Elephas maximus indicus: one gene and its partner. The protein of the gene in region 1 purifies or fractionates together with the protein of each later gene. This does not show direct contact. Links are inferred from orthologs where the notes say so. Each region holds a gene or a part of one and is shown on either strand. Other genes may lie near its edges.

Region 1 (3,745 bases):
TGTAGCTTTAAGATGTGAATACTTGAAACATACTGCTGAAGATTCTCTAATTTCTTTAAAAAACAGAATTCTCCTAATAATTTTCACAGCTCAGAGGTAATCTTAATTTAAAAGTACATCTGTTGCACTAGCAAAGTATTCAACCAGCATTTTTCTGACAAAGTTCGACAGTAAACTATATATAGTTTACAACTATGTTTAGGCGTTTTTATTACTTTCTAGAGTTACTATGACCACCAATTCTTCTGTTTGTCTAATTCTATAACTCTTCAAAGTGGTTTTATGCTCATCATCTGCATCTGTCCCTTTCAATAGCCCCGTAATGGTAAGGTATCTGAGGAAACAGCTCATTCCCATTTCAAAGATGTGTAAACCAAGATAGTAAATAAGCTAGTTACAGAGCTGGGCCCAGAAATTATGCTTACCAACTGTCATTTCACCCTCTCAAGCTATCTTGCAGGGCAAAGTGAACCCTAACTTAAAGGTTCAACAGTTTGATCGTCAAAGCTGCAGCAATGACTTCTGTCAAAATGTTTACTCCTTGTGGTCCTTGTAAGAAAACGTGATAGTTGAACTGCTGCATTGTGATAGTAGGGTGGGGGAGGGACAATGACTCCCATTTTCGGAGTTTAGAAAATCTGTTTGTTATGTGACATTCACTCCAATACAAAGCTCACTCTTGCCTTCTCATAATCCAGTTACCTGGCTTGTTATCTTGTGCAAAGGAGAACTCTCACAGCTCTTTACCTCTACTCTTAATATAACTATACCAGATGTAAAAGATGGCCCTCAAACATGGCTGTAGGAAAACTGAGATGCAGAATTATTTAAAGATCAATACAATGATTCCACTTAAAATCTACTTATTAAAAAATTAAGGAAAATCTTCCACTCCCTAAATAAGTTTAACTGTGGTTCACCTTTGCCCTCCCAAGCTTTTAATATTCAGCTCAGTTTAACTTCCCTCAACCAACACTCACTTGTGTCATGCCCAGCAGTTAATTCACAAGGTCCAATTTCTTCCCCCCCATGCCATAAAGGTGACTTCAGATCCTAAGAAACAGGACTTAGCCAACTCAAAGACTAGGATGTCAGTGTAGTAAACCAACAACTTTCAGACTCTTGTCCTATTTTATATACATCTTAATTTAATCCTCAAAACTCCATCACACGACCCCATTCCCTGCCTTCCAGTTGATTCCGACTCAGAGCAACCCTGTAGGACAGAGTAAAACTGCCCCATAAGGTTTTCAAGACTGCAAATCTTTAGGGAAGCAGACTGCCACATCTTTCTCCCACAGAGCAGCTCCTGAGTTTGAACTGCCAACCTTTTGGTTAGCAGCCAAGCTCTTAACCACTGCACCACCAGTGCTCCTCCAAAACTCCATCAGTTATTATATTATTTTTTGAGAACTGGGACACAAAAAAAGCTAAATAAACTGTCCAAGTTCACGTAACTAGCAAATAGTCCAGGAAGGACTTGAAGCAGAGCCCTATATTTAACCACTACAAGGAGACTGCGTAGCCCTCTAATCCCAACCTGATCATCAGACTAATCGTATGACCTTGGGCCGGTCATTTCGTGTTCTGGGCCTCAGTTTCCTCCACCGAAAAACAAGCTGCACTCGGAGTTTTCAGGTCCTTTCCTGCTTTTAATGTCCTGTGAATCTCCGAATGGATTACTTCCCATCCCCAAATAGCTGCTGCAAACTTTTTCAACCAACGCATGTTCTAGTACTTTCCACTTACTCTTCGGGGTTCCAGCGTCTAGTCTTTGCTTTAAGGTCTTATTTTCAAATATCCTGAACCGGTAACGCCAATAGTAAATATTCTCTATTTTTTATTGCTAAGGGTACTGACTAGGCCCGATCCCGCTTCAGACTTTACCCGGTTACTCCAGTCCACCTCGCGGCTTTCCAGGTAGCCAGGAAGAGGCCTAAGAAAGCCCTAGAAGCAGAGCCATACGAAGAATTTAGCTTTCCCAAAGGTCAAGAGAGGACCTAGGGCACCTGCCACGCCTCCCGACCCCCGCGGAGGGGCCTGGGTCTGGCTGCCCAAATGAAGCGGCCCACGTCCAGGCCTCGCTGCTCACGGCCAACGTATGTGCCGGGACCCGGGCCCTTGAAACCCAGCTCAACCCCTCGGCCCTGACCACGCCCGGCCCCTCGGCCGCGGCGCAGCGATCATGGGCCACCTGGGGTCCCCACGGGCCCGGGGGTGCGCACAAACCTCCCTTCTCACCTAGAGCCTCTTGGGGACCGCCGGCGGCTCCCGCGCCTCCTCCCGCCCGCACACCTGACCCCACGCTGCAGTGGAGACAGCGGCGGCGGCTGCCCGACCGTCACGTGCGGCAAAACGAAGAGGCCTCGGCCACCGCTGCTGCCGCCGAGCGAGCCCCACCGCACGAAGCCCGGCCCTGCGTCCGCCCCTCGTTCTTGAGTGGCTGCGAACGAAGGCAAATCCCGCCCCACTGCGCAAGCTTCGAAACTCGGTTGGTCAGTGTGGCCGTCCCTCTATGCCTCTTCCCATACGCCCCCTAGGGCTATTCTTCGTGGAGTGTGGGGACTGGCTGGAAGTAAGGCAGGAAGTGGCTGCTGGTTGGGTGGGAGGTGAGGGGGCCGGCCCCGACGTTATCGGCAACCGAAAGCGCGCGAGTCCTGGGGCGGGATCGGCGGGCCGGCGTTGTCCCGCCCAGTTACCCGGCCGTGTTAGTGGGCACGCTGACGGGTGCTTAAGCCGAATCACTGTGGTGTGGGCACCCGAGCAGCCGGCAGAAAGAGTGGGTGGTCCTGTCGGCCATCAGGAAGGGCCAGCCCCTACGCAGCGAGCGTAGGGCCCCGACCGTGCGCAGCCAGAACCCGGCACGGACGCCTTGGCCCGGCCTAAGTCGACTGCACACACAGCCCTTTCTAACTGGCCCCGGTTCCTGCAGAGTCATTGCTCTGAGCCCTGGATACTGCGGCTGGCTCATTGCCTAACACAAAATGCAATTCAGGATAATATGTATAATCCAAGGTTATATCAAACTTTCAATTTGTCATGTTTTCTGACATAAGGGCAAGCGATACACTGACGACATGCTTGAGAGAAAAGAGTGTTGCAATGGAAACATTTAAAATACACAATTTTTGTAACCGGCTTTTAGCACATCTTCAATTTTAAATGTGCCGAGAACCTCAGAAGATGGAAGCAGCTCGGAGGTTTTTCTAGACTTTGAGAGGTTCCGGTCTCTCCACCGATTGTTGCTCACCCAAAGGCTGAATCCTAGCGTGGAAGAGCTAGAAATAGCGGGTGTATCACGTATCCTGGAAGCCAGCTATATTCCCTCCTGTCACCTGAAAAGGGAAGAGAGAAGTCAGGGCTTGGTGTTTGCATAAATTTTAGTATTCAACTCTCAGCCACCAAATTTGCGAAAGAGGATTTTGTGTTAAGGGCAAAGTAATGTCCTGGATGTCACATAATCCAAACATAGTTTATAATGTAGAGGAACCACTTATATGAGCATAGGCGCTACTTCAGCAAAGGTAAGTGCTAAAAAGAAAAGAAAAGAAAAGATGGTGGTACTAAAGTGAATTTAATGGGATTTGATTACGGAGAAAGTGCATCCATCTAGGATGGACAGGGAAGAGGAAGACTGGAGCTGGACCTGGTATGATATGCAGAGTTTCTAAAGGTATAGAGTGGGAGAAAAGCTTCTTTAGATGAGGAAACAGCATATGCGAAGACAGGAAAACAGGCAATGTGT
Region 2 (3,745 bases), on another chromosome or scaffold:
GTCTTCCAAATCTGGGAGACAAAGCGTCCATGTTGGTTAAGCCAACTTCCTGAACATACCTGGTGCCATTTTCCCAGCTTCTCAGGCAGAAGGAAGAGCAGAGGCAGGTTGACCAGGGTGACCATGGTGAGGGACACTGACTCCCAGAGCATGAGCCCCAAGAGACACAGCCCCCGTACCAGGTACCACATCAACAGGTTCAGCTTCTCACTCAGAGAATCACTCAGGGTGGATGTGTCATCTGTTACCCGAGATGTGATGGCACCTGCCAGAGATTGGGGAGAAAAGTGTGGTATGAATAAGAAGGGTTCCAAGTGATGAGAGGGACTAATAACAATCCAGGGTGCCAGGAGTACGGGTGTCAACATGGTGTTTTAAGGAGGCTGGGGCAAACAGATCATATGGGAGTATGGGGACATTTGGGAATCTCACTGCAGGGAGAAATAAGTATTAGAGCTGAGAAATCTAGCTAAAGACCATCATTTTAACTATGAGGAATTTGATGCCCATGTAAATTTTTCTTTCTGTAAAAGATTTCTGTTCCTTAAAGAATTTGTATGTCCCATGATTTTATGATATACACATAGGCAGAAAGAGTTTAAGCTGGTTGTATAATGGAGGTGGAGAAGAACAGATGGTGCCCCTGTAACCAGCAATGTACTAGGAATCAAAAGACTGGGGTTCTTCCCCCAAGCTTCTCTCAATCCATTAGGTGACATGCAATTTTCAGCATTTTGGGCCTAGACCTCAGTTTCCTTCTCTGGAAAATTAGGCATTAGGACTCCATGATCACAAAATTTCCAGGTTTGAAATTCCATGGTTTTTATTTAATGATATACAGGGATAGATTTATGGAAAAATCCTGAATGGAAAAACTATGTTTTACGGAAGGTAAAAAGAATAATTTGTGTTCAGACTAGAGGTATACCAAGAACAACAATGTGTGTGTAAAAACAAGAGACAGAGATATCAATATTATAAGTAAAGGATGTATGGGGATATAAAAAGTATATGGATCTGTAATGAAAGAGTTTTGTGACAAACCTGTTTGGTTCTGTTGGAAAAACTCTGTCTCTTGGCGGAGGACAGCCTGAAATACGTCTCCCTGCAGGCGGCTGTGCATGCGGCCCATGGTACTGTTATAGAGCCCGTCACCCAGGAATTCCAGCACTGCACTAGAGAGAGAAACGGAAAAAAAGGGCCAGGATGAGTGCTGGAGGATGGAGAGAAAAGGTCGCAGGTATCCACACAGAAGTGAACTTTGGAGCACAGCTCCAATTCCACTTCCTTATTTCTCTAGAGTGCACCAGTCTCAGCCTTCCATCCTCAGCCCCCAGACCTGGCTATGGTGAGAAGGGACATGAAAGTTATGTTTCTGGTGAAGCCAGGAGCTGCCCCATCTTGCAGAATCCAGTCAGCAAGGCGGCCGGTGAAGAATGGTATGGCCATCTCCCCTGGGTTGAAAGAGAACTCGGTCAGTCACAAATATTAAGTCTAAACATATCACCTCCAATCAGACTGCCCCCCATCACGTCCTCTTCCACCCTCACCATTATCCTTGAGGGCAGGGGCAGAAAGAAGACACTGGGGCCAGAATTCCACACCTGAATAGGAGGCCCTGCAACTCACAACCCAAGACCTTTCAGCGGTTTAAACAGGAAGCCTCATGTTAGAGATGAGAATGCTGCTCGGCGTGGCCCAGCGAATTAATGCCTGCGGCAGGACTGCAGTCCATGACTCCTCTCTCCCACCCTGCCCAGTGCTCTTTCCTCTACACCGGAGTGGTCTCCCCAAGACCCAGGCTGGGTCGCCTTCCGCCTCATCCACATTTCCCGGAACGGACACTACCCTGCCTCACTGACCATTACCCTTGATTTCCTGTTCAGTCCCCTATGTCCTACCCTCTTCCCCCTTACCGAGACAGGAAAAGATCAACAGGCCCAAAACGAGAGGGTAACGGCGTATCTCAGGGCCTATGCAGCGTAGTAGTCGAGTCACCACCTCTCCAGAGCCCCCCTGTCCGCCGAGCACCCATAAGCTCTCGAATTTGTGCCACAGAATGGCTGCGGGCAGCGCCGCGGCGTAGCTGAGGACGAAGGCGTCGGGGCGACCTGCCCAGTGAAGCAGTTTGGTGCTCTCAATGTTCCTGGGGACGCCCCACGATCTCAGTTCTCGAAACGAGGCAAGTCCCGGCAGGGCCAAGCCCAACGCTGCCGCCAGTGGCTCCAAAACAGCCAGCCAGCCCTGGCCTCGTACGCTTTCGCTCTTGGAGTCGACCGTGGCCCTGAGGACCCCGCGGGCCCCAAGCCACAGCACTGCCCAGCGGCCCAAACCCACCGCCCAGACCCGGAGCAGCGGCGGCACCACGGGCACCAGCAAGGAGACTATGCCGGGCAGCGCTCGCCGGAGCAGCACCCAGTCCCCGAGAAGCAGCAGCGTCGCCCCCAGCCACGCGCAGCAAGCTCGGGGGAGGCGGAGGCACCCTCCAGGAGCAGGGGGCCCCGAGGTGGCCATTGGCGCGCAGGCCCTGTCCTGCGTGCCGTCCCGGCCTGGGTTCTCCGATGTCCCCGCTGGGTCCGGCTCTGTCCGAGTCTGCGAGCGAGTCGGCGCTGGGGCTGCGGCCTGGAGGAGGGAGTAGGGACGCGCCGGGGCGGGGCTCCCGGAAGGCCCGGGGAGCCGGCTGAGCCTGGGAGCGCGGGCCAGAAGAGCAGCCGCTTAGCGGAAAGAGAAATCGAAAGCGGCCGCGGGCTCGCTCGGTCCGCCCACTTCCAAACGCGGCCCGCCCAGACGATTTCAGGAGCTGGCGCTGAAATCAATTCTGGGGCTCTGGGGCGTAGCCCTAGTGCTGCGTCTTCAGGCAGTCCGTTCCTTCCCCTCCCGACTTGTCCCACGGGATCCCCTGGCCCTGACTTTCCCACCCTCGCTTCCGAGCTCGGCTCTTTCGTCACCTGTCTCCGGGCAAATCTGCCCCGCACAGGTTAGCATCCCACGCCAAGACTCCCCGGGAGGACACCGGCGCCCCCTGGCGGGCATAAGGAAGGGGCGGGGCTGTGGGCAACGCGCCGCACACTGCCCGCGGTCAGGAACCGCCGCCCCAGGCAGCTCAGAGCGCGACACCAGGCCGGGATGCTGCGCGCGGGAGCACCAGCCGGGGACGTCCCCGGAGCCGGAGAAGTCCACACCGGGGTAATGATTCTGGGCTTGAGGGCTAGCAGAGGGACGAAGGAGGTAGATCGGCAGGAGACCCTGAAAGCGCCGAGAAGCGAACGTGAAGACTAATATGAGTGTGGGGAAATGGCTTGTTGCAGCAGTGCTTGCACCCCGCAAAGAACATAGGGTGTCTCTACTCCGTAGGAGGTCACCTGGGGGGGGGCTCGAAGGGACGGGGCTTGTGAAGGGGGGCTGCTTCGGCTCTTAGCTGGAAGCGTCAAGGGGAAGCTGCTCTAAGGCGCTTTCGCTTTCACTCTTACCATCTAGATAGGGGGCTGATTAAATCAAGAGAGCGGGTGGGACGGTGCAAAGACATGAGGAAATGGTGTCCTGAGTGAAGTTGGACAACATTTTGGGAGAGGGGAATACGGGCACTGATTGAGAAGGGTCAACTCATCACACAGACCTTTGGTATACTTGCCCCGGAGTTAACTCATAGCCCGAGCACCGATAATGGGGGCTCCGTGTGAGCCGGTGGTGCTCTTTCCTAGCTTGGCCCAGGAAGGTTCCTCCTTGCCTCAGGTGCTGCCGCGCT

What was found. Proteins that work in one complex are often made in the same cells at the same time.
Region 2: the proteins of CANX (region 1) and TAP1 purify together in Homo sapiens (affinity purification with mass spectrometry; 3 studies listed by BioGRID and IntAct, with this or other methods). This does not show direct contact. The link is inferred for Elephas maximus indicus from reciprocal best matches to the Homo sapiens genes CANX and TAP1.

Annotation. Positions count from the first base shown.
Region 1 is NC_064820.1:201,847,120-201,850,864, reverse strand, and holds the start of CANX (calnexin), read right to left. Parts: upstream 2,419-3,745; 5' UTR 2,242-2,418; intron 1-2,241. UniProt on the Homo sapiens protein: Calcium-binding protein that interacts with newly synthesized monoglucosylated glycoproteins in the endoplasmic reticulum. It may act in assisting protein assembly and/or in the retention within the ER of unassembled protein subunits.
Region 2 is NC_064819.1:95,538,652-95,542,396, forward strand, and holds the start of TAP1 (antigen peptide transporter 1), read right to left. Parts: upstream 2,839-3,745; 5' UTR 2,515-2,838; coding exon 1,917-2,514; intron 1,455-1,916; coding exon 1,340-1,454; intron 1,176-1,339; coding exon 1,045-1,175; intron 266-1,044; coding exon 60-265; intron 1-59. Other genes in the region: PSMB9 (proteasome subunit beta type-9), read left to right, coding at 3,127-3,186. UniProt on the Homo sapiens protein: ABC transporter associated with antigen processing. In complex with TAP2 mediates unidirectional translocation of peptide antigens from cytosol to endoplasmic reticulum (ER) for loading onto MHC class I (MHCI) molecules.